Linked DNA regions of Lepisosteus oculatus. The protein of the gene in region 1 binds, or shares a complex with, the protein of each later gene. Links are inferred from orthologs where the notes say so. Each region holds a gene or a part of one and is shown in the gene's direction. Other genes may lie near its edges. The genes, in order: fmn2b and spire1a.

Region 1 (15,658 bases):
TGATGGAAAACAAAAGCACATTTTCAGTCCTTTCAGAAATGTGAATAAATGAATTACATATCTGAATATCCATTGTTCTGAATATTTTCTTCCAAAACCTTCACTGCACAAGACCCAAGCCATGTACAGTATGTGTTTTAAGATCTTGTGTTAAACAAACTTCTAAAAATATAAAATGCCATGTGATTGTGGCAGGAACAATAGACTGTATGCCAAGGACAAAAATGAATGCTTAACTGCTCTGTGGAATATCACCTTCACCTGCTTTTACGCATATATTTATTTTGACAACAGCGTTTCCAAAAGGATTTTGAACAAAGGTAATGTTAATATACCCTAGGTGGGTAAGTTCTTGATTTATTTCACTTTGAGAAACATCAGATGAAGAAAGTGATGAGAGCTGGAATTGTCTTGGCTTGGTTGATATTATTTTATGTGTAAAGGCAGTTATCTTTGAAAGATTTGTCAGATTGGATTTTCCACCTTCATTTTCTTGTGAACCATTATTGTTTTATCACAGCACATTTTAACAGCACTTTCATTTTGTATATAGTTAGCAATAGAATTTACCCTGCAATTGCATCCTTTGTAAAATAATTGAACTGACATTTTATTTAATTTCTACAATGCTAATTAATTACAGATAGCAACAGTGGTAATTTTTTACACAATCTATAAATAGTCATGTCCATTTTAATAAATGCATTTATTGCATCAGGAAGAACTGATTGTCTGGAAGAGTGTTTTCTTCACTGTGCATTGAAAGTTTGCATTTGATCTACCAAGAAACTTACTTTCCTGAACAAATGTTAAAACATATCATACCAAAAACATCAAATATATTTAGCTTCTGTGCAGTTAAAAATTAATTTAATTTAATTTTATTACAAAATGAACAGCAACTCTTTACAAAACGTTCTTGGATAGGAGAGACATTTCAGCTTTATACAACCACTCGACCTAATCAGTCCGATCCTCTTCTGAAATATATTGTATTTTGATATTCAGACAACACAATAGAATTAAGCAACTTTATAATGGCAAACGACATAGTATTATAGAGTCCATTCATCTATTTTCTAACCGCTTCTTGCCATTCAGGGTTGCAGGGGAGCTGACACCTACCGTGGCGAACAACAGGTATAAGACAGGGTACACTCTGGACAGGTGCTGTACCAGTCTATCAAAGGGCACACACACGCACCAGGGCCAGTTTTCCCAAAAGCCAATTATCCCACCAGTATTTCCTTTGAGTGTTGGACGAGCCCAGAGCACCTCGCGAAAACACACGCAAACATGTGGAGAACATACAAACACCACGCAGACAGCACGCAGGTCCTGAACTGAACCCAGGCCCCCAGCGCTGCAAGACGGGACAGTGTATATTATATTAGATTAGCATCGCTCGAAAGAACAGTAATGCTGAACATAATGGATGTGTGTTTTTTTACTCTGTGTGAGTAACAAATAAAATCACATTTTTGAGTGAACGATGACCCTTAAAGACCTTGCTTGTCGATCAGGCCCTTTTACAGACAACATACTGTAATTCTGTAATTTCTTTGATTTATCAGCTGCTTTAATTAGAAAATAGATAACTTACAGTACATTGAAGTTTAGTGTATGATTCAGTTTTCTTTTTTTTTTATTTTAAAAGCCAGGATGCATGGGAAGGCTTGTACAGCTTTTTGTATTAAAATTACATACTGTATTACTTTTTGTAATTGATGCCTGACAAATTGCATTATGATGTTCTGTAGTTGTGTGCACTCTCTGCCACCTTTATGCGGTGTCTGCCGTAATCTCAGGCTTTACAGTGTGATTTTGGTAGTCGATGATAAACTGTTTTATGTTATGATATTGAGGTTATTGAAACTTGTGCATAGAGGACCTTACAGGAATGATTTTAAAATGGCTCAGATTTATTTAAAACCTACAGCATACGGTGGGTTGCAATCCATAATCCTAGGGGGCAAACATAAATATAAACACTGCTACTATTTGAAAAACATGTTATCATTATCTGCATATCAGCTAATAAACGATTTATTCTTTTTTTAATTTGAAATCACTTTTTAATTATACACCCACGTAATTCGGAGTTGCAACTATTTTTTTAAATCTCTGATCTCCAGCAGTGACTCAGACCACACCTGCTTAGAACAGCAGATATGTAGCTGAATGAAACATGTAGACATGCGCCAGTACAGTATGCCTACCTTTTAAGTCACTTGTCTGACACACTACATGTTTGTGGTGTACCCAGCATTTCTGCCCTCATTGATTCATGCCAGCTCTGCTTGGTGAGTCCCAGTCACAGGTGGCAAAGAAATACAGTATGAGCCAGGGTGACCCTAGCATCAGCTGATTCATAAATTTCAAGCTGCAAGCGAATGTTTTAGACATTTACAACATACAGTATGCTAAGCTAAAGATAGCCAACTTCATGGCTTATTACTCTATCCCACTAATATAGTAATCAATTAGCTTTTTGTTTTAAATCTTGAAATCATGCATTTGGCAAATGACACAAATTTGATTTTAATTGGTGAAACATTGATAATTACACAATGAAAAAAGTGTTATACAGTAGGCTTTACAGTATGTCACTCAGTGAAGGGCAATGAATCTGATGTGGTTTCAGTTCACCATAAGCATTTTCTTTACTGTTTTGCTTCACTTTATGAACGTTTGTTTTTGCTTGTGTATGTTTTTCGAAGGCAGCCGCTTGTTTTAAACTTTAAACAGCACAAACATGAAAGTGTGAAAGTGAAAGGGTCAGATGCTTTCTAAAAGTGAAAGAAGAGGAAGGGAAATTGTGTTCATTTGCATCTTTATGACATAAATAATCTGAAACATTTTGCTAGACATGATGGATCACTTTAAAACAAAAACATATTTCTGAAACTGTGAAGGATGTTGTACAGTGTTGCAGCTTTTCATGTGTTTATATGCGTATTTTTAAACCTACTGGGTAGTGAAGCTTGATGTTTTTAATTTTCTTCTTTGTGTTGTTTTTGCAGTTCATCTGTTTATTAAATGCAACAAGATTTAAATTTCCCACATTATCTGTCTTTTTGTACACTGAATAGCCACATATAATTTGTGGCCATATTTTTAAACATGGTCATTTATAAATATATTGTTTATGGATTGCTTTAAAACAGCAATAAATATTTTAAAAACTGTCTGTGTTATTTCTCTTTCATCTTAAAAGCTTATATTGCAAGTTTCTTTTAAAGATATGTGCGTGATGAATTTCAAGTCACATGAAATGTTTCCAGCAAAACATATATCAGAACAGATATGGGTACCAATCGTGGCTTGGAACAAGGAAATATTCTTCCACCATCCTGGGTCTCTGTAACGAGACTGTTTTCACACCGAAAGTGTAGAGCTACACTACCACCATGACTGGGCATCCAGCTTTTTCTACCATCCCGAAGTACCTCATCTTGCCCTGAAGTAACACTGCCCCCCTTTGATTTTTACCCTGAACTTCATGGGGCAAAACCAACGCCTGAATTCCTCCAAATTGCATCAAATGTTCATACCTATTTTTTCTTTTAATCATCCTTAAGCAGTCCTCCAGACACTTACACAAACAAGGCCAGTAACAGCTGTTGTGTTACAGTACATACCGAATGCTTTTTTCATATCTACTCAAAGAAAAAGAAAATGAAGCAAACAGTTCTACATGTGTTACGTTCATGATAAACATCTTCAGTGATATCTATGGTACTTATGAAAATCTGTCATAACCAACAACAGTTTCTGTGTCCTAACAGCTGTATATATATAGTAGATGAAAACATACTGTAATTACACTATAATAATGGTTTCCATTTAAAAATGCCTGGATACAGTTCCTCTGACATACAGTACAGTGCTATTGTCTTATTTTAGATCTGGGAGTATATCACCTCATTCCCTTTGAAGACCTCTTACTCAATGTCTTGAATCAAAGCACGTCAAAAATGACTAAAGCTCTGCTGAATACTGGAATGTTCAAATTATAACAGCAGAAGATTTCAATGCAGAAGATTTCAGTAATGTCTTACTGCGAGGGTGTCCACATCATAAGTGGAAGTCTCACTTACAGTGACTTTGGGAGGCTTCCATGGGAGGCAGCCATCTCTGGCTCTTTTGTGTGCCAAGAGTGGGGACTAAGCCAAAATGGCTGCTAACAGCCCAGTAATTGAGTCAAGGTGTGGGCTGTGAAAATCAGGTTCATCTGAGGCACATTATACAGCGTAAGCCCCATGAAGCAGACGCACATGGAGTTGTAGAATCACGTTTGACTTGAACGGTAAACAGTCCACCCTGTGACTCTGTATTGTTTGTGGGGAGAAAACAAATGACCCTGCCCCATATATTGAACTGGCCAAAGGTATTGACAGATCTCCAAAGGGAGATATGATTAGTATGATTAGAAAGAACTACTTGACCATTAAAACATGGATATTGAAACTCGTCTGCGTTTCAAACTGCATAAATTAGCATTGATTTTAAGGTCAAGTGAAGCATAACGTTAAGTGTTACTGACATACTGAGTGAAAGCATTATGTTTTGACATCATGGTAGTCTCATTTGCCTGTTCAATTGTTACTGGACCTGTATATAAATACAGCTGAAAAACTTGTTGAAACCCATGACCTTCATTTATTGGGATACCCAAGAAGTTTACTATTTGCCATTCTTAAATGCTGCTTGTCTTCCTTGAAGTTCCAGAACAGTAAAATGCTGCTGCAGCAAAAAAACAAACAAACAAATCAATAGATAATTAAAATGAAACAGTCTAATCAATATTCATTGTACTAATCAAATTGGTAGAAAAACAATCAATATTGTCCATTTATTATTGGAAAGCTAGTTATCCCTGGCAAGGGATGTTGTAAGCTGAAAGAATAGAATTTGAGGTGAGACTTCACGCAGAACTGGATGCCAGTCCATCGCAGGGCACGTTCTGTACACCGGGTCCTTGGAAAGTAGAAGGAAACTGGACTCTCCCAACAATACCCTGAGTGAGGATAAGGAGAATGTGCACACAGTACACACAGAGAGTCTCCCCAGGGCATTCTAGAACTGTGAGACTGCAGAGCAGTACTGTATCCATACTTGAATAAACCACTTTTTAAATGCAACGTGCATTCATGCCTAATTATTAAATATGCAAAACTGACTGATTGACAAGCCTAAAGACATTTTCATACCAGAGGTTTTGCTGAAAGGAGGTTTAAGATCAATGTCATATATAATGTTTTTTGCATCTTTTATTATCTCCTGAGTATGGAGTAAATGACAGTATACGCAATGGGAATGGGAATGGGATGGGATGGGAGGAAAGGTCATATTTGAAGGGTACTGAAAGTGTTCAGTTCTGCTGGCTTTATTCACAGTCCTACTATTCCGTTGCTCAGTGAACGAGGAAGCAGTGTTGCTTGATGTGACTCTCACAAGGGCATTCATGCACCTTCAGCATTATTAACTGATAGGAAGCACTATTGACTGACCAAACCCTGATTAACAGGGTGTTATGACCCACGAGGGTCCATCTGAGGGATTGTTCCCACCCAGCAACTTTTTGGCTGCTAACAAGTGGGAAACTATGAAAATATTTCTATCCATCCATTTTCTATCCAATTTATTCAATACAGGGTTGCAGGGGTGCCAGAGTCTGTCCTGGCAAGCAACAGGCGCAAGGCTGGATGAATAGGATGCCCGTCCATCAGAGGGGACACACACACACAAACAAACACACACCCACTCACACCAGGGCTGATTTTCTCAGAAGCCAAGTTAGTCTACTGTACTGGTAAGAATTGTGTATTTTAATAAGGTTTCTGTCACATGCACATATTCCTACTTACAGTAAATTGTACATTCATGTCCTGTTCACTAAATATAACCAATATATACAGTATTCTCTATGTTTATCATTGGTGTTTAGTTTAGTGATGTAATTGTCCCTTTTTCATTCAATTGGCACATTACACAATATACTGCTGATTTTTTGTCTGTGAATAATATATTACTAATGGTATATGGTGAATAATTTCCCAATACAGTACTTAGTACGTTTACCACACCTTGCAGTCAATTTAGTGGTCCATGTGGCAACAAAGGACATTTCGCTTAGTAAACCCATCCAGTCATCCTTCCATTATCAAAAATCTGCTTATTCATGGTTTTCCTTGTCCAAATGTCTGGGGTCCAAGGAGGACTACGTCCTGCGTTGAATGCCAGTCCAATGACAAGACACACGCACAGGGACAATTTAAAGAGACAAATCCACCTAGCTAGCTTGTCTTTGGAAAGTGGGAAGAAACTGGAGCACCCAATGAAAGGAACCCTGCCAACAAGGGGAACATGCAAACTCCACACATAATGTACCCATGACCCCAGTTCTCTGAGACAGAAGTACTAACTGCCCTGCCACCTAAATTCTAAACTGAAAATGTTAGAGGCAAAACATGAGAAATCATAATAAAAATAGGCCTTATTGAAAATGAAGTTTTTTATTGTAAAGCATGAATCACAGTTTATTTCGAAAGTGAAATCGTTTTTATCTGTTTTGTTTAATTTTGTACTGTATCTCTAGCTGAATGCAGAAATTCAAATGATATGAAGTAAGTATACAGTAGCTTTTGCAGCAGTCCCTGTGCAGTTAAAAAATATCTGGGGTTCAGTAACAGACCAGATCTATAGACCAGTATAATTTGACAGTCCCAGAATATCTAGCATGTCTTTGCTAATTATCTAAACCAATTATTTAGAAAACTCAACATAACCTCATTTCATCCTGTTGTAAGGACTAGTCATAGTAGGCATTAAATATTTGAAAATCCTGGTGGATAAGGCTAAATGCAATGCACTAACTTTACCACACAGTGTCAGTATAGAACCAAGTTTTATTTTACCCAGCAGAACATTTTCAAACCTCTGTTGTCTCTTACATAATCACTTAAAAATTTAAATTTACATCTGACCAAGAGGTGGCAGAGTAATACATAACCTACTGTATATGACTAGCAGATGTTGTACAGTATTTTTATTTCTTGATAATGATCATCATAATGATATTGCAGATGTACAAGAATATGATCAAATATCCGCAGGGGGACATTACTGCTGTTCTGAAAGACTGACAGACCCATAATGCACAATGAGGTAAGCTTTTAGAATGGGACCAGAAAAGTGCAGCAGAAGGAGTTTTTTTTCTAGTCTACAAACTTGGCAAAACAGATACTGTATTTGTCCCTCGCTGATCTCCGTTACCTACTCTTATTTAATTCTTTGAAGAGCACAGTCTATGACAATAATAATAATAATAATAATAATAATAATAATAATAATAATAATAATAATAATTGCTTACACTTATATAGCGCTTTTCTGGACACTCCACTCAAAGCGCTTTACAGGTAATGGGGATCCCCTCCACCACCACCAGTGTGCAGCCCCACCTGGATGGCTCCAGGATGGCAATGGTATGGCTCCACAGATTCTGTAGCTCCAAGCAACTCCAGCACTCTGAGTGAAGTGTACTCCTTCACACTTCAGTCCCTACAGTGTGAACTTTGCGTTGTCCTCTGCAGCCAAATTAATTTCAATTTAGAAAAAGAAAAGTCAAGGTCTCGTTATTTCTTTCTGTATTTATTTCTGTCAATAAACTTCAGGCAGACAGCCAGCACTGCCATTAAACAGTCTGTCCTGACTCAGGGCAAAGGGATTCTCTGTCTGCTCACTCCACCGAATAATTTGGTTGTGGAAAAACTGCTTTAATAATGCACCCGGCTCTGCTGTCAGGAAACACTTCGGAAAATTGCAAACAAGGGAAAGGATGGCAACAAAAACTGGGAAGGAGAATATTTCTGTTCTACTCTGCGTGCCATGACAGTGAGTATGAATTTCTAAAAGTTTTCTTGTTTTGTCTGGTGCATGTCTTGCTGATTACACACACACATAATGTATACTGTATATGACATGTGTACAAACAGAAATAATCAGACTCTACTGATAATCTGGAGAACAAAATTAATATGACATAATGCATTTAACAATGTTTCAGGCAATAAGTGTTGCTGTAGCAGCTTTATATTCAACAAAACAATCTTGTTATGAAAAATATTAGAGAAGACCTTACACTAATTACAGATGGTTTACATATAACTTTAAAGTTGGACAATACATCATATAAACATCCAACAAGGCTTTGTTATTGTTTTTTAAAACTTTATGAAAGTGTTTTTAATAGGAAGCAGTTAAGCATTTGGCAGTAAACAAAAGAAGAGCAATACACTGTATACCCAAGTATTTGCTGGCCAGAAAATATCGTTTATTAAAAATACATGTCATTGTTCCTTTTTGAACTGCTTTCTCTATAGCTAAAGGTTCGTACTGTACACTTTGAACAAATTTGATGGCTTCTGTGATACTGAATAACTCACGATGGATGCTACTGTAGGATCAAGAAGATATGATATTAATACAGTATGAGCTTTTGAAAAAAAAAGCATTAGTAAAGTGCACAGAAGGGGGCTCTTTCACCAAACCCGAAGGCTTTTGTTCCTTGGATTTGTTTTCCCACAACTGCCTGACTTTTACAGGCAAAGGGAAAACAGGCAAAGCTGAAAGACGTGCATTACAACACTCCCCACTGTAGGGCGAATGAGCTGTTTACACGGTGCTAGCTCACAAATCGATAGGACTGTCTCACAGAGCACCGCTTCTGTTAATCCCACGACAGGTACCCGTCACGGACTGTGGAATCACGTGCTAAATTGTGGCCCTCTTCACGGATTGTGGAACCACGTGTTCAATGTAAAAAAAAAACAGCGTAAGTAGGTGTCCCGCCCCACCCTCCCAAAAAAACCTGCCGAAATTTTTAACAATGGAGGTAGACGTTGGTTACAGGTAATGAGTTTGCTCAGTTTTAATATAGCTTTCAGAATTAAGTTCCTTTATATCTAAGTTTTAATTGATTAGGCTCCAGAATTATTTATATATATAAATTGTGATAAATCTTAAACAGAAATAAATTAAAGGTTATTTAAATGTTAACATTCGTAAACTCGACCTTAATTTTCCGATGTTGGGACCAACACTTCTGACATAGCTGAAATTCCATTTTTATTGCCCAGTTAAGTATTTCTAGAGGTGTCCAGATGTTTTTACGTAACTGAATGTAATTATTCTTTGTATTTGTTCATTCAGTATTTTATTTATAAAAAGGTATACATTAATATAGGAAGCTGGACTCGCTAAACAAATATATTCTGATAGTTTGTAGTTAATGACGAGCCACGCACTGATGGCTTCCAAATCAGACTAATTAAATAAGGTATGTCTTATTTTAAAAGTTTAAATGCACAAAAAACACGTTTACTGCAAGAAAAAGTAGTCACGTTTTACATTTTAAAGTATTTTAGTAAGTATATGGAGAGTTAATTAAGAATGGTACATTATAAACTAGTGAAGGTTAGCTACAGTAAGTGTTATGCTGGTTAGAAGACATGTGATTTAAAAATGAGTCATTTCAGAGTTCATGTGATTGAAAAAGCCCTATAAATTTGAAGCCGTTCTGGTTTTATTCTAATATTGAACAGAAGGACTAAGGCAAGTCAGTTTTTTTACATAATATCGCTTTTGTAAATATTTGTAAAACTTTCTGTAAGAAATGTAAGTCGAAAGTTTACGTTTATCCTGTGAAGTGGGTTTAGTTACTGTGATTCTTAAGGTTTAGCAATTGGAATTACGATAGTTTTTACGTTTAGTTTCGAAGTGATTACGGTGTTTTTGTGTGTGACACAACGTGTTCACTTAAAGTTTAAGGAACTACGAAAAAACTTTGAATATCAACCTTAACAATTATCACTTCTGTTTTTACACATTCGTTTTTGTTATATTTTTGTTTCTCCAAATGTTTGTGTTCGACTCAGATTGTAAAATCCGTTTTCTTAGCACAGCTCTCTAATAACGCGTTAAAAATATTTTTAAAATTCAGCAGTAAAACCAAGAGATGAACAATTTACATATTTTAAACAAATAAAACTCAAAATGAAGAAATCTTCTAAAGACAGCATTTCATGCCACTATCTGTTGTTGACATTAGTTTTATTATTCAGGATAATTTAATTGCGTTGGCATCAGTATACAGTAAATAATCTCTACAGTAGTTAATACTGTATGTGCAGCCCAAACGGTGCCTTTTCTAGGGACCAGGTGTACATACAGTATGTAGTTTTAATATTTAAATTTTGTTCATGCATATGTATTTACTATGTGAAACAAACGCTGACTTGGAACGATGTCATTGAAGGGTTTTCAGTTTACTATTGCAACTAACTGGATTGATCTTTCTAATAAAAGGTTTTATGATTGTATTAAATATGCGTTGTTGGCTCATTCACAGACCGGAATTAAAAACAAATAACAGCCTACAGCTGTATGAAAATGGCGGAGAATTACTACAGTACTTTCTAAGGAATATTAAGACAATATTAAGAGCCCTTTTATTGGTACAGTACTGTACTGTAAAATGTATAATGCTGATGTTGCATCAGTAGTGTAATTTTAGATTTGATTCTGTTGTGATCAAATTAGATTATTTGTGTTGTAAGCAACATCTTCACTCAAGTTTGTTACTGAACAATATAATTTAGTTCTTTTATGTTTAGAATGACCCAAGGATTTCTGACTTCTTACTCTGTGTATTTGTACACATGCACTTAAGCATCAATGCATGTCGACCAGTGTCTCAGACCTTTGTAATCCATTTATAGGGTAGTTTTGTAATGTGAGTGTTAAATGTTGCATTTCATTTTATAACCATATTTTGCATAGTATGTGAGCTTAGTTTTTTAGTTTGTTTGTAAGCTGTTAAATATTAAATTGGATTTCCTCATCCTTATTGTGTAATGTAATATCTCTTCCTAATCCTTCAGGACGGTAGAGTGTTTTGAAAGGCAGAAGGGAGGTTAGAACCTTATTATTGCTCTCCCGGCTCCCTGGGGAGATAATTCATGCCGTGTCTTTAAACAGATGAACATGGATAGGAAAGGAAGTAGATAGAGTTCTGATGCAACATGTTAAAAACATGCTTTTTCTAAAACCTATTATAAGTGGTTATTGGTTGTCAGTATAGATCAGTTGCAGTACGTTTTGTTAAAGCAAAACTACAGTATATCACTGTTTTTCATTTGTTCTGTATGTGTTGCACACTTTTACTTTAATATTTCACAAATAAGAATTTGATTCATACAGTGTGAAAACTAAATTTCTTCAAATGGCAATCATTTTCATAAACATGCAGTATTCCTGAAATATTTTTTTCCTGAAGCAGAAATCTGTCATTCTAAATGTGCAGGGTTTATGTGTAACGTAAGTGGTTTCGCATAAAACAGTGCTGTATGCAATGCACGTTTTCAAATTTTTAAGATGTTCTTTTTTTCTTATTTGTCTTTTGTCATAGTGAAACACTGCCGGGGCCTTCTCCTGAACTATGTCTGCCTGTCGGTGACCGAGAATCCCTTGAATACATAATGCAAGCCATCCAGACAATTGAAAAGCAGGTCCCCGCTCTGAGAGAGAGCTTTTTCCGAACTCCTTTCAAAGACAGGAGAAAGAGCAGCTCGCTGAGCCTGGGGAAGCAGCACTATTGTCAGCTGCAGCAGGAACAGAAGCAGCCGGGGGAAGGAGCTGTCTGCAGACAGGAGTGCTGCACTGAGCATGTCCCTGAGGAGCAGGCAGCAAGCAGCCCATTATGCAGAACAGCAGCTCTAGCAGATGGGGGAGAGCACGCACAGGCGTTTGTTTCCTTTGCATCCGCATCATCACCGCTCTCGTCACCGGAAAGCAAGCCCGGATTACTGAGCAGGATCTCGCCGAGAGGCAAAGCAAAGAGCATCCATCAGCATGGCTTGATTGCGAAAGGAGTCCGCTTGCTGATAAACATGGGGAATCAGGATGGGAAGCTGAAAAGGGCAGCCGGGGAAAGCAGTGAAGCCACAGAAGAAGCTGGGGGGCCCAGGGAGGTGGAACACACAAAGAAAGGATTGCACGGTAAAAAGGCACATGGCAAACATGGCAAAGGGGGAGATTCCAGCAAGAAGAAATCCAAATCGGAATCTAAAGCATCCGTGTTTTCAAACATCAGGCTCCGTAAGAACCTGTCCAAGGCAAAGGGGTTGTCAGGGGGCTCCAAAGAGGATGTTTTGGAGACCCAGGCCTCTCAGCAAGATGAGCTGGACAGTGCGCTCTCTATCCAAACCAAAACCCCCGATATCAGCCTTTCCGCAGACGAGCTGGGCCTGTCGGACACAGAAGCTGAGCGGTTCCACCTCACGATGGAGAGCCGACAGGCAACCGTGGAAACCCAGGAGGGACAAAGGGCTAGCTCTGGCTCCGATACGGATATCTATAGTTTCCACTCCGCTGCAGAACAAGAGGATTTGCTTTCTGATATCCAGCATACTATTAGGATGCAGCAGGGGGTTATTATTTCAGCCGCTGAGGAGCCAAGCTGGATAGCTGAGTATAAACATGCGGGTGATGTTAAAACAACCCCCCCTGACTCTGAGCACGTTGCAGACCAGGAAGCTGCCTTTAACTGGGAGAATGGCCATGTTGGCGAGCTGCATGTTTCTCTGGACAGCGCAAGGCAAGAAAGTAATTTAACTGCAGACGTGCAAAACGGTTTAAGTGAGGCTTCAAGCAAATCTGAGAAATCCTTTTGTACTTCGCCTGGGACAAAAGAACACAAGCCCCCGAGCGAGAGCGCACAGCCTCCTGCAGAGGCGAGCGGAGGGAGAGGTGGGAGCCCTGTTGTCACGGCAACAACCGCCAACAGCGTCCCTGACCTGACCGCCTCGTTTGAAAGTGTAGAGGGGCCTGAAGAAGAGGAGGCCAAGGTGGATATTTCATCTCTCCTAAAGGAAAGTCGCGCTGAACTAGATGGGAGCCATGAAGCAGCCCTTGATTCCTCAGATGGGACTGTTGATGGCAGGGAGGAATTAACTGAATCGCTGGAACATACTTGCAGCTTGGAACTAAAAGCAGAAGGTGATGACGAAGACCCTACTGTGCCACATAGAAAAAGCAGCGTGCCCTTTTCTCAGTGGCACCCTGAAAGTCCCTTAAGTCGGTTGTTGAGGACAAGTTTGACTTCCACATCCTCCCCAACTGTCAAGCCTTACCCTCCAATTCACCCCTCTTACATCAAAACAACAACAAGACAGCTCAGCTCCCCGAACCATTCTCCGGGACCCTCGCCGTCCCAGAGTCCCTTGTTTCGGAGGCGGTACTGCGACCTCGGCCACAGGCCCGACAGGCGGAGAGTCAAGAAGCAGAGGTCCTCGAGCATAACAGGGCCGCTCAGCCGCTCGGCGGACTGGACTGATGAGCTGTCCAAATTTAGGTCCAACAAGACGGGTTCGGCAGATTACCTGGAGTATGGGGGATCAGAAGAGAGGCTCAGAGGAGGCAGCCAGCCCTTGTGCGTTACTCGCAAGTCGTCTGGGGTCCAGGCTTCCACCTGTAGCTTCCATGATGTCTTTACTGGTGAGTTTGATTTGTACAGTTTGCTCCACCGCATGAAGTTAAAATAACTGGGTATACAGTATGCTTTATTAGTTTCTTCACATCCTTTGTTTTTATCAACTCGGTAACATACCTGAAATAGCAACTACTGTATCGCACCGGAGAAGATTGTTACAGTGCCATCTGACATCATTCATACGCCGTACCTGTAGGCAGAATTGCTGAAAAAGAAAATTCTTGGGTTTTCTCTAGCGATGTCATGTGAAAGATGTTTTCTGTGTGCAATACATGCAATAATAAACCTTATTTTATATAGCGCCTTCAAAGGTGGCTTCTCAAAGCGCTTTACACAACAGCAGCAGGAGACAGTAGACGGGGGTACTGAATACAGCAGGAGCAGAGGGGTAAATAACAGAACCGGTTAAGTAAAGGCCCTTTTTAAGAAGAAGCTTTTGAATGTAGATGTGAAAGAGTTTAGTTTAGCAATGCATTCATGTTGTGCATACAATTTGTCAGAATCTAGATAACGCTTTTCAAAGATAATCCCTTTGACATGTAGTTCCACAGTGTTTCTTGAATCAATACAGTGAATTGACCTTTCCTCTTTCACCCTGCATTGCACCTTCCTTGTGTTAATCCCCCTTTCCTGCTCCAAGATACTGTAATTAAGGAAGGGATTCTTGGGATTTCCCCTTCCAGATAAACATGCAGCTTGCTTGTATTTACTACTCAGCTAGAGGCCAGTGTTTATTTGCTTTCCCTGGCCTGATAATGCAGAATAAAGCAGTGATTAGGAAATGCAGGGAAATATACATGTTTTTAATTTTAAAAAGCTAATAAAATGCAGTTGTTTGTAATATATGAAACCTTTGATGTTTGTTAATTGTAAGGTCTGGTGGAGGTAGTGGAAAAAACACAAGGATAAAGACATGCTTTAAGTCTGCAGAAATGTTCTTATTATTTCAGCTTAATTTTAATATTTATTAGAAAAGATATATGACAAAGCTGAATCTTTTTTTCTCACATAATTTCTATGGTTTTCTGTTTTGGGGGGCTCCTGTACTACAAAACCGCCTGCTCAGCAAGCTTTGCTTCTGTTTTTCTGTACTAAACATTTTCCTTTTTAGTAGAGTAGTAGCTCTCTTTTCTGTTTGGTTACTTGTGGAAATTCATGTCTAGAAAGTACAATTGACTCTGCCAACAGTGCAAAATAAAAATTGGTACTTACACATCCTATACATGGTTTCTGCTCTGATCTAGTGGAATATTTATTTCACTTGAAAACCCTGAAGGCCTAATACAAAATCAAATGAATGTGCCCTCTCTAAGTTGTAGTGTAGAGTCTATGGACTCATAATTAGTGGGCTGTGAGCTCAAGTCAAAGACAAAGTGAGGAGACAGCCAACCCATTACTTCAGAATGAATAGTGAAACCGCACCAATGAGGTGGAAACTACGCGGAAGTGCATGAACTGTAAAGCAATGAACAGGAGGCACTTCTTTACCTAAAGCGGCATGGGTGTATGGAACAAGGTACCCAGTCATGTCATAGAAGCCAGTACTCTTGACTTCATTCAAGAAATAGCTTGGTGAGGTTCTGGGATCAGTTAACCAGTAAATACCAATTGGGTAAGATGGGGCAAAAGGCCTCCTTCTCTTCGTAACCTTTGTGTCCTTCAGTCCCTCCTGTAGATACGGCTGCAGTACCTTGATTAAGGGAGTTTACCTCAGGTTCTCCAGCCCACTCAGCTCAAGGATTTGGCTCTGTGGTGGTTTGGTTTGCCATCCGAGGGAATGGGGGGAGTTCACTTATTGCCGTGTAGACCAGGATAAACTCTAGGCTGGTGGGCCACTGTAGCTTGAATACCAAAATTACACGCCTACCCTCTGCAATAGCATAAAGTTTTAGAGGTTTTAGAAAGCAATTGTCATCTTAACCCTAAGGTATAGGTTAGTCAAGTCTTGAAAAGGACAGGATTTAGTTTTTATCCTCATAAAGTTAGTAACATTGTTTTTTTTTTTCCATTTCTCATACACAATAAGAATTCCCCAGATTGCCTTACCCTAAAAATATTTTTTTTAAGTTCAGACATTATTTCAAGGCATATATGTTTTGCTCT
Region 2 (15,080 bases), on another chromosome or scaffold:
CCATTTTAAAATACTCAAACACAGGGTACTTCCCAGACCACTTCATTTTATGTATGTGATAACGTGCCAGTATAATAATTACATTTATTACAAACGAAATTTTAATATTGTTTTCACTGGGGCTGAAACTTAACATCTTTTTTCAACAAAACAAATATCAATATTGGTCTCTTTTTTAATATAGTTCTGCAACTTAGTCCATAACATTTTTACCCTGGGACATAACCAAAACAAATGCTGAATAGTTTCAGGGCTGTTGTCACAAAAAACACATTTGTCATCTATATTACTTTTAAATCGTTGGGTAACAAGAGGTTTAACTGGGTAAATTCGATGAATTATTTGGTATGAAACCTCCTTAATTTTATTGGTTATACAATATTTATTGGGCATCATCCAAATTTTTCTCCAATCAATTTCCGGTAACCTTCTGTCACGTGTGTCATCGAGTTCGTCCGCTGAAAGTTCTTCCTAAGTGAGCCCCTGAGCGGAAGCAATATAAATTCAAATCCCTGAAACAATCCCGGGTTCAAATCCCGCGGCCGGCAGAGGAATCCTACTCCGTTGGGCCCCTGAGCAAGGCCCTTAACCCCAACTGCTCCAGGGGCGCCGTACAATGGCAGACCCTGCGCTCTGACCCCAAGCTTCTCTCCCTGTCTCTGTGTCTGTGTCTCCCTGGAGAAAAGCTGGGGTATGCGAAAAGACGCATTCCTAATGCAAGAAATTGTATAGGGCTAATAAAGAAACATTATTATTATTATTAAAGATGGGCTAAACGATCTTTTCTTGTTCTAAACTTTTCTGACGGGTTTTTAAAAAATTCATTTTGATTCCCTTCGTAATGAAAATGTATTAAGACAGAAAGAGCAGGTCACGACAAGCATTCCCTTGCCTATGTGGATTGTTTACTTTCGAAAGAGGCAGTTTTGGTTAATAAACACCCTTCCGTAGTTTACTACAATCCATTCAACACATCTGTAAGCATCTGGAGTGTGGAGTCATAGCGTATTTATGAAGCTGAATTTCTTGAAAATAATTGCAGGTCTAAACAGTCAAAACAGAATGTACAACCAAAAAAAAAAATCAAGACTCAATCCTATTTTTCTTTGTGCCGGTTGAAGTCAGTGGTGGAGCATGAACCTGCCAAAATGGAGTAACAAAATGGCAGAGGATTGCTCCTTAAAGCAGTGACTCTGTTTGCTTCATCGAGCTGTGCTGTTGAGTGTTTCCGAAGATGCAAATTCCCAGGATATACTGCCTGTTTGTGGACCAGAATGGGATGATGATGATGGAGAGATGTGTTAAAAAACAGTGGAATGTTGTGGTTTTTATAAAATTATCAACATTTAAGTTAAAAATCAGCTGCCACTCTGCAGATACATCAGGTTATGACAATATATCCAATGAAGTGTTTCTACCACTGGATGTTCCTTTTTCACTTGCAATCCCATCAGTGTGGTGCAAACTGCTCTTTTAGCTTCTGAAGCAACATGATCAGCCTTTCAAGATGGGTGACTCATACCTGCTTTCCCCTGGCGCTTCGTGATTGCTTAAAGCTCTGCAGGTACTGCTTTGGAATAAAGAACAAATTGTAGATAGAAAGCTGTGTACTTTTCCCTCCGCAAGCAGATGGTGCACAATGGCCAGACATAACTGCTTGATACACTAAGCATATTGTACTTTTGAGATGTGGAGAACGTAAAGTAGTTTAAAACTCTGTTTTAATCTACTTAGGGGACAAATAGTGCATACTGGATTAATAGAAAACTTAAACTGCTCATAACATCAGGCATAAAAGGATGTGTTCGAATTTGAAGAAAGCTGATGAAAACGTCTTTCACATAAAGCACTCCCTACCTTTAGCCTATAAAAAGAATATTTTCATCCATTCTTATTTGCAATAAGCACATATTTATGTTGCTGTTTAACTTTACTGTTGCAGGATGGCTGTCAGATTCCTCTCCAGGTGATGCAATGCCTTTCATTGTACTGATGGCACAGTTAGAACATCATTCTAAAAGTGCTTTGTGTTCCTTTAGCGATGAACAGGACTGTTGTGCCTTGATCTTAGACTTGTGCATGATGCTTAATCTGTATGTTCTCTGCCTAGTGGAATTAACGAGTTAATATCTTTTTACGAACTGCAGATGCATTAACATTTAATTGTTATCATCATCATTATTATTATGAAATCTGAGCTAATGTATGTTCGTATCTGAGTTTTTGTTTTCACCATGGCTCTGCTTAAACTAGATGATGTCAATCGTCAGTGAACTTTTGAGGAGTTTCAGAGAGCTTTTGTTTCTTTCCTCATTTAAAATTGGTTACCTAGCTACTGGACTAACACGAGTCAACATTTCCACAGCAAGTACCACTTGAAATTTAAAGCTAAAACTGCCAGCACTGTTAGTTAAAACAATTGCTAGGCATCATCCTTTCATCTGGCAGTTGAAGGGCACATGCAGAGATATCAATCAGTATTCCACACAGATCACAGATGAGCATTAGCCGAATTCATTAAAAAGAAGTTGTGCTGGTTGGTTTTACACACACTTTTTCCATTTCTTAAAAAATGCGGTTGTTCGATATTTTGCCAGCTGAAATGAAACCAGTAAAACCTGCAAAGGTTTGATCTAATTGATTTTGGCCATTGTTCCCGTTGAGAAAACTGCTGATATTCTGTAATACTTCCAGACGTGACAGTGTGATGAAAAGACTAAAGTTGTTGGATCATCTATTCCATGGGACTTTAAAGCTGTTCACTGACAATGTCCCCCATCACAGATCCGAATCATTTAGAAGAATGTTAACCATTGTTTCTTAATTCTCTCTCCTGTTTTACCCACACATGTCCCTGTGGTACATAAGAGGTTGTCACAGAGGTCAGCATTGCTGCCTCACAGCACTGGGGCCCTGGGTTCAATTTCTGGGCTGCTGTCTGTGTGGAGTTTGTATGTTCTGAACGTGCTCACATGGGTTTCCTCCAGGTTTTGTGGTTTCCTCCCACAGCCCAGAGATATACTGGTGGCTTAATTGGCTTCTGATGAAATTGGCCCTGGTGTGAGCGTGTGTGTCTGTCCTGTGATTGACTTGTCCTGTCCAGGGGTATGTCTTGCACTGGCACCTGTGGCTTGCTGGGATCCGGCTCCCCTGTGTATAGGATAAAGTGGTTAGAAAATGGATGAACCTAAGAACGGTTAATGAGAGGGACCCAGTATTGTTTCATTAGTTTAGGGGAACACCAGGACCCGTATTGGACAGGATGAGGGGGCTGACTATCACCACCCAATTCCCCAGTCTGGAAATCAAACCCAGGACCCAAGAACAGTGAGACGGCATCATTAACTGCCACACTCATAAAAAAAATCAACAATATCTAAATACATATAGATAGGTATAACAAGGAGTTTTTGTGACCTGCCAAAATCATAAATTTATAGTGTACTCATATTTTTTTTAAATAAAATATGAGTAAAAGTCAGTAATAAATTACCCAGTACACAATTCCATTTTCAGTTGACTAATCTTTTCCAGTAATGGTTTTGAATTGAATTGCAAGGCTGTCCTCTTTTTATCCCTGTTTTATCCCACTTAAGTAACAAGACAAAATTCCTGAGACCAGTTCCCATTGAAGACCCCCTCTCTCTGGATTCCCACTCAAAGGTTCATGGACTAATGGAGGTTTGCCTCTCCTCCCTCACACTGCACCCTGGTCTTACCCCTCAAACTAAGGATATTCAAAGCGCCACCTAGTGGCTCTTACATCTCTGCTGTGTGGCGTCCTCAGACTGCAGAGGGGTTTCGTGCGGTTTGTCAGTTTGGTACGTTCCCAGCCAGTGTGATCACAGCAGGGATCGGGACGCACAGGTGTCCGTGTCATACCGAGACAGCACAGACGGGGGCCTGTCTCTCTGTGGCCATCGCCTGGGTTTACCTCCTGAGGCGTACCGTACGCTGTACTCGCAGGCGCCGCCGAGACTGTGGAACTGCAGCTTTAGTGGGAGTGCATTTCAAACTGAGAACAGGAGGCACTTCTTGACCTGAAGGGTGGTGTCACGGACGTCCAAGGGGACTAACCGTGGGGAGTAGGAGAGCGGAAAAAGACCCATATGCGTAGCGGCGAGACGGGAAAAAGGCCCGGGCTCATTAGTGCAAAGAGTTCAGGAATGCCGTATAGAAACCTATGCCCTCAAGGAGCGGACGTGGGGCGCCCTGGTGCTAGGCGGGTCTCAGGACATCCGAACGTCAATGCTGAGCAAGGACAGAGTGCAAGACCCGGAAATATATAGACCAAGGGAAAGAGAGGGACAGGAAGGACAGCAGACCGGAAACTAGGGACAGGACAGAGAAGGAGCGCCCTCTGGCTGCAGAGGGCGTGACAGGTGGTGGTTGAGGGTGTGGAGAAGGAAGTTCCTGGGTTCTTTCCATGAACAGTGGGATGAGCTCCTCCGGTCAGTTGAGTGCTAACAACCACACATGCTACATGGCCTGCATGGCCTCCATTTGTAACCTTTCTCATGTTTCTGAATCAGCGGTTGACCTACCAAGTACAAACTATGAGCACAATAACTGATGGGATGGTGATGGTTGGTTGTTCTGTAGAGATTTTCCATCCCGAGGAAACACACTGCGTACTGGGCTTGTATTTTGTAGTTTTTAGGTGGATCCATATGGTTTTTAGACAAAGTACAGTGCAATTTTAATCCAGGGTAAAATACATGTGGGTTTTATTGATATAAATGGAGAAATATAAATATTGTATACATATCACTAAAGTATTATTTATTAATGTTTTAATAGAGGATTCCTCTGCTTTATGTCGATTTTTTTTGGAAAACTCTTGGGATTTGTTCAGGGTAACACTTGATTTTGATTAGAAAAAGGCGTCAATCATTAGAATTTTCTTTTAAGTACATCCAGGCATTTTTTTAAGGAAGACCTTCAATATTAAAAAGGCGAGGAAGCCACTGGGCCCCATCTAGCCCATTTATTTAGGTTCTAGTAATTTATGGATTAGTTAAAACCCATTCATAATAAAATAAGTCCCATTCAGCCCCTTCTTGACAGAATCTGGGGTATCCTCGTTGACGTGTTTTTCAAATTTTAGCAATAATTTAAATAATTATGCTGTGTTTTTTTCCAGAGATCAAAACACATTCATTAGCCACATAGCACACAAGTCAGCGTACTTAGCAGTTGGAACCCCGAGCTCAGACTACGGTTCCCAAAACTACAGGGTCTTCAAGTCATATAGTTTTATTCCAGCAGAGGGCGCACTGAAGCCTGTAGTGAACCCGGAGGAGAGGTAGAAGACGAGCTAGCTAGGTGTAAATAAACTAAACAGCGCTGTGTAAAAGTGTCACTTTTAGGTCTGGTCTATTTTTTCTTGCGCTAGTCCATGTCTCCGTGTTTTCGAGTCTCACTGCATTTTAAATGCACTAGAGTTTGTGACGTTCCGTATTACATTTCTCATAGAATTGGGAATCATGTCAAGGAATCGGAACACAATCTTAAATTGACCGTATTTTTCTTTTTATTACTGCTGTAATATTTACAGTTTAGAAGTAAATGATTAAATTTACTTTGTCGAGGCTAACATGTCTCCCTTCATTCAAAGAACACTGAAGCAAAGGATCAATTCATTTAAACTAACGAATTTGCAAGGAAGACACATACCAAGAATCAGTATTCAGAGGTCACGGATGTAAAGGAATAGTATTCTGATAAATTAATATCTTCGTTTAGATGTGACTGCAGAGAAACCACAATCACTGAACCAGTTTTAAGAATCTCTTTATTTTTAGGGGTTTGGGGCAAGTTAGATTACTCACTTACATGGGGACAATTTAGTGGTGCTATTAAATTTGGAAAGCCTGCATTTGGAATGTGGGAGGAAACTAGATCAACTAAAGAAAACCCATGGAAACCTGGAGAGAGCATGCAGACTCCACACAGATGGTGGGTCAGGTTGGAGTTGAACTCGGAGCTCAGTCCTGGTCCTGTAGGGTCATAATACAGTTAATCCACCTTGCAGGACCTCCAATCATCTCTATCACATGGTTTGACTGCAAGCAGCTCTTTAAAAAGAAATTGGGGTAGTTCGGTGGCTCTGTGGCTAAGGATCTGCGCCTGTGGCTGGAAGGTTGCCAGTTTGTATCCTGCGGCCGGCAGAGGAATCCTACTCTGTTGAGCCCCTGAGCAAGGCCCTTAAACCCAACTGCTCCAGGGGCGCTGTATAAATGGCTGACTTTGCGCTCTGATCCCAAGCTTCTCTCCCTGTCTGTGTGTCTCATGGAGAGCAAATTGTGGTATGTGAAAAGACAAATTCCTAATACAGGAAATTGTATACGGCCAATAAAGTAATCTTAATTATTTTCTCATTATCAGAATCAACACGGCAATAGTGCAGATCAGCTGGAAGTTGAATATTCCTGTTCCAATGGCCCACATTTTCTACTGGAAGGGTGTATGGTGCTGGAGACCTCAAACCGCAGGTCAACCCTTAAATGAATAATCTGGAAAAACTCGGAACACCTGAGTTTTGTACAGTTACCATCCCGTAAATTTGATTCAGGTAAATCAGAAATGAGTAACTGCAATCCCTGAGGGTAAAAGGGTATTGGTAATGTCATTTTATGTGATCTCTGAACTGCTGAAATGAACGGATTTCCTGCTCCAGTCACAATTGTTTTAAGGTTTCTTAAAAAACTAGGAGCAATCCATAAAACCTACTGGGGAGTGCGTCTCCAGGACCAGAGCTGGCCATCCCTGGTCTACTCTGCGTCTCACAAACATGGGCTCTTGTCACAGCTCCTTCTTGTGCTCTGGATGTTCCCACTGCACACTGCACAAGGCCAGTGTGATTAGGTGTAGGGTAATCACTAGTATAAGAAAGAGCTGCTATTGTTTCATTTGATCATGGGTGAGAAGTCTTATTATAAACACCCCCCAGGACTAGAGTACGCTGTGTCTTCCACTGTTTGTTTCAAATGACCTCTTACCCACGATGATAAACTGATATCTCACTTGAACTTGATTACCGACACCATTTCAGCTTCTTACTGCACTATTTCTACCTGGGTTTCTGAACTGCTTTTCTGTAGGTCTGTCACTGTGAAGAAGCTTCAGGATCATCTGTTCTGTTCAATCTATTCACCCCTCAACCGGCTCGTTAAGTAATTACTGCCAAGCTGCTGCTACTGTTCTGTCAAGCAACTCTTAATTGGGAAAGACTATCAAAAACTCCACCAGAAAAACAGGTATACGCTGTGCAGTAGTCCAATTACCTTTGTTACCTGGATAGGGGCTGGTGTGAAACTTAGAGATTGATTCGGGGTCTATACTTATTCCTAACTCCATTCAATTCCTTAAAAAAAAAACTTAAACAGCTAGAGATCACCTAGCCTAGCCCTTTAAGAACTGAGCTAGAATGACTATTCAGAAGACACAGGAGTACTTCAAGAACTGATTTGAGAACCACTATTTTTGCAAAAACAGCCTGGCAAATCCGGCGCTGTGTGAACATAGCTCAAGTTAAGACTGGGGCACCTTTGATGTGGAGTTTGAATGCTCTCGCCTAGATCACTTGGTTTTCGCTTGGTGCTCCGGTTTCCTCTCAGACACACGATGGCTAAGTTAACTGGTGTCTCTACAACTGCCCGTGTGCCCGTGACTTGCGTCGTCCTGTCGAGATTGCTGTCGCTTGTTTTCTGCACAGGGTGCCGGCCGACTGGACCCCTTCCGAGAGCGAGCGGCTTCCCGACGATGGACGGGGTGGAAAAAGGGAGACTCGGGAGTCCAAAACGAAAACCCGCTCCGTTATCTCCCCGCGCTTATAAATATTTTTTTTTCCCCCTATGAATTGTATACCGAGCGCTTGCATCTTCACATAAGGCGACATTTCACATACTTTAAAGACATCGCTGACTTACAAAACACGCGTCCCCTAACATAACAGCCGTCTCCCGCACGACGTCGTCTCAGCACAACCTGTCCGCGTCGTGATTGATGACGCCTGGAGCTCGGAGCGCTAGGCTGGGAACCCGTCTGGTTTTGGGACCATGCGACTAACTTTCGTCATATGACAGAAACCCATAAGAAACCGCTGGAAGGGGGGAGAAACGAGCCATTCAATGGAATTACTGTGGGAGGGCAGAGATTTAGCACGGCTCTCGATGACTTAAGGGTCTGAGCTCTTCCGTATATCGCATCCCTCGCTGCGCAGTGTCGGCGGAACCTCTCCCTGTGGATATAATGAGAGGATGGCCGAGAGGCGAGGCGCTGACAAGGAAGGGCTGACCGCGGGTGCGCTTCGGCAGCCGGGCAGTGATGAGCAGACTTCTGGGGATGTAAACATGGAAGGCGGCGATGGTGCCGACGAGCTGTCTCTGGAGGAGATTCTGAAGCTCTACAGCCAGCCGATCAATGAGGAGCAGGCGTGGGCCGTTTGTTACCAGTGCTGCCGGACCCTGGCTCAGGGGTTTCGGGGGAGCAGCGCCGGGGCGAGGGGCGAGGGGCGAGCCTGGAGGATTGAAGGCGCTGCTGATGTCCGAATCTGCAAAGACGGAGCCGTGAGGCTGCACCACAGGCAGGGAGGCTCAGGTAAACCTCTCTTCCTAAGCGTCGTCCTTCGTGTTATTGATGTTGTTCAAAACCGTGAGCAAGATAGCTGGGTTGAAGACATACCTCGTCATAGTTACACCTTGGCTGTTACTGTTTAGGTCGGTGCCCGTGAGATGCATTTAATCATCTTCTGTGGTTTGGATTGAGAGGAATATTGTGCATACCGCCACGTTTCTGTACATGAAATCGGATCGTGCAATGATTAGATAATTGCAATGCACTTCGGTGCCTATAACACCCACACCATTCCTTAGATCGGCCCCGAGTTGAATTGAAAGGCTCTCGAAATTTTGAAAATGAATGTATTTCGGGGATACCGCATCGCCTCATAGGTCCAGCCATTGTTCCAGTGCGCCGAAACGGGTTGTTTTAATTATAACAACCGCGCTGAAATTGCTAGGCGCAGCGAGTTCTCACGTGTTGGACCCCGTTTCTGTAGAAGCCGAGAATCAACCGAAATAATTAACTTACACAGTTACGCAACACGAGCAAAGCTGGAGTTGGGCCAAGAGCGGTTCCGGTTGAGGGGGAAAAAAAAGCAAAACCATAGAAACCCCCCCCCCCCCTTTTTTATCATGCATGTCATTTCAGCGCCTAAAAATAGAAAGACGCTTTATCCAATTTACACGCCCCTAGAGCCACCGGAGCATTTAGAGATGAGACATTACAAAATGAAAAGTTTTCGTGTGATTCTCGAAGATGGACTCCGACCAGCTGGTCCCGAACGGGCCGGTTGTGGTGGTGGGTGGCAAAGGTGTCGGTGGCGCTCTGGTCGTAAACAATGGGACCACGTGATCGATCCAGCTGGGGTCACCTCGCACGTTGAGACAAAGGGTCCAATCATCATTGTTCTTCGAGGGTGAGAGTGTAAAGTCGCTGTTACGGTGTTTTTACCGGTGTTAGGTGTATTCTTGGAGTTGAGTTTGCTGTCATGAAGGAAGTATAAAATTCCATTGTTCGCGTTTGTATAGTGTAGCTTTATAAAGACAAGGGGTGCGAGAGTGTGTATATATATATAAAAGATTATTGTCCCTTTCGTCAAATTAAATATTTGACACCCATGAGCATTAGGAGCTTTTTAATGAATAAAACCACACGCGTCCCAGGCGTTGTCTTTCGTGTTGAGGTCCCGTATCTCAGTTCAATTAAAATTTCATTACAGTAAAAACATGTCCCGTTCCAACATACTGGGAAAACCATTTAAGTCTGTTGACGGGGATTTAACCATAAATGCTTAAGTATTTCATTAGTTTTGTTTTGGTCTCATTGTTCATTTTCCTTATTATGCCAATCGTATTTCTTGAAGGCGTGAGGCTTACTTGCTTCAAAACGGCCCTATTCATCAGTCATGTATTGTCTGCCGGTATGTAAAAAAACCTGACAGTAAAAAAGCTGACAGCAGTATCCCTCCCCTTAAAACGTCACGTTATTTGAAGAAAGGAAAAACAAACCTATTATTTACAGAGGTTTCGCATCCCTACGCCCCAGTGTCTTGAAAATTAGCCTCGGGTGTAGTTTTAGGTTTTGAAAGTAGAATATTGATTTGAGCAGATGTCATACCTTGTGATGTTTAAAGCTGTCACGCCTTATTATGTTATAATTGCTGTTGAGCAGGTTTGGCTGATGTCATGTGCAGTAGAAGAAAAACCACAGAATGTGGTAGTTTCTCCCCCAGCCACATTCCGAGACAGTGTTGTGTAAGGAAAATGGTAAAGAGAAATATTTCGGAAAACGGGCAGTCCAGTTTTTTGTTTTACCATCGCGCTATGAGAGAGAGCAGCCATGCCGTATACAGTATGCGCTTGTCAGCTGATGGTGCATACAGGTTTCTGTCTAGCCAGACACAGCTGTTTTTGAATTCTTTTTCTTTGTGCTTTTAGTGCAACACGGATTTAGAATCCAAGTACTACCGATGTAAACCGGTATGAAAACGTGCTGCGAATCATGTGTTAGGTCTGCCTTACCTGCATCTAACAGCCTACTGCATCACCGAGCCACTGATGGACTTCAAGGAAGTGTCATTGCGTACAGCACTTGTATCAGCAGTGATGGTGTTTTTCACAAGCCACAGTAGTCTGCAAAGTTCATGAATACCGGACAGTATTTAAAGATGGAGTTAAGAAGTTGCACGCATGCTTGGACTGCTTGTCTTAATGTGTTTCTCGTGCACTGTAATTGTGCTGTGAACTTCATGTGCATCTGCCTTCCCCTTCAGTGCTCAGCAAAATAAATGACAGTCAGCTTTCTAAGAGCTGGTCCTTGTCAGTGCTTTCTGAGGACACAGGGCTGGACAGTGTTGCTTACTGGCCCTGTTGTTGTTGCGGCTATTCTTGGGCGCAGTGCCAGTCCACTTCAAGCACCTTTTAATTTAATGTGGAATGATGTATTGCTGATTCAATTAATGTAAAAAAAAAGATACTTAGTGGTGCAGTAGACAGTTCATGTTTTAATGCTGCTTAGGAGGCTGACTGGTATCTCATCACTTTCATAATTAACACTTTCATGTCTGGCCAGTGGTGGCTGAGAGTCCAGTTGAATCCTGATAGCTTTGTTTTTGTACGAGTTGAGGCGTTGGGTCTCTGTTCTATGCAAAGCTGTAGGAAATGCACCATTAGTTAGTTTTATCCTAGCACTGATGCGAGGGTTTAACTGTTTCCAACGATGCTTGCTCTCCTTTAGTCCTCTTCTCCTCTCCTCTGAGGGTGATCAGTACCTGCCTTTTACACATTCAAGTGATGATATTAAAGAAGATGGTGCCAAGACGCTATATGCAACTACAGTGCAGTGTGGTTCATACGGTTTATTGCAGTTTCCTTACTGACGAATGGCTGAGCCACTTACATGAAGCTCCACATGTTTCAATGGTAATCAATGTCATGTTGAGACAGAGTTTCTTAAATTCCGATAGTGATTAAGCAGTTGGTTTACTCTATTTTTTAAACATAATTAAGGCTACGAACCATTGGAGGCCAATCAAGCCCAGCTAGCCCATCTGGTAATTAGTAGCTAATTGCACCAATTATCTCATCCAGCCATTTCTTGAAAGAAAGTACAATGTTGACTTCAGAGTCGTGGCTGAGCAGTCAGTTCCATACTCCCACAACCCTTTGTGTAAAGCGATGCCTCCTATTCTTGTTTTTAAATGCACGCCTACACAGTTTCCACTAGTGACCTCTGGAGTGTCAAAATCGAGGAAAAAAAAGTGTAATGAAAATCATGCATTCCATGTGTACGTGAAGATACTGTTGTTGCTTGTTCAAATTCCTCTAGCAAGTTAGTTAAGCAAAGCCTACCTGTTTTTTTAAAAACAAATCTATGTTGAAGGTCCTCTAGGATCCTATTTTTATATGTTTTCATGATCCTGTAATTTAATGCCATTTACTTTTTAGTAACCTTGGATGTAACAGAAGTCCGATTCAGTGGCTAATAATTACCTGGTCCAGTTTTGACATGCCTTTTATGTGTAGATCATACACTAGCGGTTCTCCAGGTCTTGGAGCACGGGTTAAACGATGACGTTGTTCATCATTGCGTTTTCAAAACAGCTCTGCCGTTTCTAGTGTGTTCTCTAAAACGCACGTCTCAGACAGAATTCCTGGAGGGCCAGGTGTCTTCTGGTTGGTGTGCCAACCTCTGTAGTCACATAACCTAATTATTTTCTCATTTAGACACTTATGAGTTTTCAAATGTCTTTTACAGCTGATCACTTGGAACATTCCCTTTATTATTAAGAGTGTTACTTCTGATCAGGTCCTCGGGTGTTTTATATGCATTAGGTTATGTCGTGAGTTATGGAGTAAATGAAATATTTGCAAACCTATGTGAGTAAGAGCTGTGTGCAGCATTCCCAGGCGATAGCATTCCCAAGGGCAGAGCAGGAGGATCAGGGCTGACCAGAAAGACCTTTTCTTCTTTTGTGGTGTAATCTGGATCTTTGGATTGCATATCAAAATATTTTGTCAGTGAACGTTCTATCAGCTTGAAATAGTCGGTAAGTTAATGTCACTGTATAAAATAATTCAATCACTATAATTTCCGGTAAATTAAGATTACACTCACTTTATTAGCCACATACAATTTCTTGCATTAGGAATTTGTCTTTTCACATACCCCAGCTTGCTCTCCATATGCCAAATGCCGTTAAGACATCCCTGAAGCTATTTACCACCTCCATTAGCCTCCAGTTTGGCATTGACTATATTTTAGAGCAATTAGACACTAACATTAAAAGAGGGGCTGAGGTAGCCCCTTTCGTCTGCTTGCACCACAAAAGACTTACAATTCTAAGAAGAACTATAAATAACAACATTCCAGCGCTTGGAGTAGCTTGGCAATACCCTCGATTTGCCAGAAAATGCGGCCCTGATTTTAGTGTCACCGTAGAGTTTCTCTGTGTCTTTGTTCTGTCCTGGCTGGAGTTAACCTTGTGATGTGTATTTCTGGAAATGAAAGAGGCTTCCAAAGAGGACTGCGGTTCTTCAACAGACGGAGAAACATGCATTGCATGTTAAAGCCAACAGCAACAGGCAATGCAGAAGGATAGTCCAGTGATCACAGACATGGAGTCAATATCTAAGCAACTGAAATGAATGAAGTCAAGATTCCGAGACCCTGGGATAATTTGCACAAAGGAAGATGATTATTTAGTTTGCAAGAAATGCTCAAGGATACTTTTCTCATCATTTGGTTTGTATAATTAGCAGCTGGTTGTCTGCTCCAGTTCTCGTTGTTTGCTTGAATTTGGCTCTGAAAGTCTAAGAAGAACTTGAATTTGTCTTTCTGTGCTTGTCTGGAGTGGAGGCAAAATCCTAAAATCCATGCATCACCAGTTTGATCCCAGGCTGTTACATGCTGGAATTAGGTGGCCTTGAGTCAGGGGCCCTACAGCTATAATCCTAGCCCTGTGTATCCGATATATAACCCTATTTCTAAGACGAATACCTGCCTGTGTTGTGTGGGATGATTTATATGTAAGACCTCAGACATTCACAAAGAAAAGAAGTGAGTGAATTGTGAATTTATTAACAACATATCAGGAGACACCTTTAAGTTCAGAAGCAGCTAAAACCAATGTCTAGAGTCTGTGTAATAACACATTTGCCTGTGGACTTGGAATTTTCAGGAGTGGTGCACATGACTGGGTTTAAATTTGAAACTTGAAAACATCTGATTTGTAATTTTCTTTTTGCTTCATATTTCGAAGAATATGATTCGGTGCGGAAATAGATGATCAAATTGACAAACTGTGGCATGGCAAATCTATTATGCAAAGAATAAAGTATATAATCTTAAAATACTTTATACTTTACTTCATATGTCTATTATGTAAAGAAGCTCTTTTTACAGAGAAACATAATCAGTTTTGTTACCAAGCTGCTAGGACTGTAGGCTTTAAACCCTATTGGCCTGCATCTGATGTCAAATCATCGCCTTTCTAGACTCCTGTGCTTGTTTTCACAGAACAGCTGGATGGCATGGTGTATAACACGCACTGTGTGAGTGTGTTTGTATGCAATAGAAATAATCACTGTGAGCAGGCTCTTCAGCCAAATTAGTCTGGCTGCAAACGGAGGACTTCCTATCGACTCAAAGACGGTCTTTCCCGTGGCAGTACTCTCATCAGTCCTTAGAAATCCTTCGAGTTTCTTACATTTTGAGAGTTTAAAGTTTAAGGCTGCCGGTCTGTGAGGTGATAGGATTTTGGGTTCTATCTCTGCAGGTTTGACCTCACTTTTTTTTTTTACTTCCCAAAGAATGTGCACTACATGAAAGCTGTAACGTGATTGAGAGGTTTGCTAAATATGGGGAATTTGGCAGGAATGTAATGACAGAAAGGCACTGTTTTGAGAGCTCGGTTCCCATCTGCAGTGCCTTGTTGCGGTTCTTGCCCTGCTGGTGAAAGTAGAAAATTATAAGATCAGGAGCATTAGAACCTGTCTGGGTGCTCCGCTCTGTTATCAAGTTCTTTTGAAACCTAAGGGGTAGGTACTGTCAACTCATTTCAAATATTTAAAAAATGTAACTTTAGCATTATCTGTCACCACTGAACATAAACTATGCTGTAGTAATACTATACTAACTACCAGTAGTTAGTAGCTAATTGTTCTGTGGATTTCCTCTAGCCAAGTTGTGAAAGATGGCAGTGTATTGGCTTTGACAGCATGGCTGGGTAGCTAGTTCCAGACTCCCACAACCCTTTTCCTAAACTAGTGCTTCCTGTCTTCCATTGCAAAAGTACTTCCACCTAGTTTCCACTTGTGTCCTCTGGTATGTGTTTCCCTGTGGATCCTGTCCACTGGGTTGGATTCTGACGTCTTGGATCAGGTCACATTGGAGTCTGTGCTGGAGCCAAAAAAAGGTCCTGTTCTTTTATTACTTGACTTAACCTCATTAGCAAACCTCAGGAAGGCAATACTGTTAAAACAGGGGGAAAAGTGGCAGCAGGCTGTGCTCTACAG

The links.
Region 2: the proteins of fmn2b (region 1) and spire1a are in contact, whole or in part, in a crystal structure (PDB 2YLE), measured with the Homo sapiens proteins. The link is inferred for Lepisosteus oculatus from reciprocal best matches to the Homo sapiens genes FMN2 and SPIRE1. Residues at the interface, in NP_064450.3 of Homo sapiens: Ser1702, Leu1703, Lys1705, Ile1706, Lys1707, Pro1708, Arg1709, His1710, Gly1713, Ile1714, Lys1715, Lys1717, Ile1718, Lys1721, Thr1722; in NP_001122098.1 of Homo sapiens: Gln51, Pro52, Ile53, Asn54, Glu127, Ile131, Tyr134, Lys135, Asp138, Leu141, Lys142, Glu143, Asn144, Glu145, Glu146, Arg147, Glu148, Glu154, Ile157, Asp158, Ala161, Asn162, Thr163, Val164, Glu165.

Annotation. Positions count from the first base shown.
Region 1 is NC_090712.1:16,472,632-16,488,289, reverse strand, and holds the start of fmn2b (formin-2), read left to right. Parts: upstream 1-8,859; 5' UTR 8,860-8,893; coding exon 8,894-8,916; intron 8,917-11,473; coding exon 11,474-13,560; intron 13,561-15,658. UniProt on the Homo sapiens protein: Actin-binding protein that is involved in actin cytoskeleton assembly and reorganization. Acts as an actin nucleation factor and promotes assembly of actin filaments together with SPIRE1 and SPIRE2.
Region 2 is NC_090705.1:7,902,654-7,917,733, reverse strand, and holds the start of spire1a (protein spire homolog 1), read left to right. Parts: upstream 1-8,061; 5' UTR 8,062-8,261; coding exon 8,262-8,601; intron 8,602-15,080.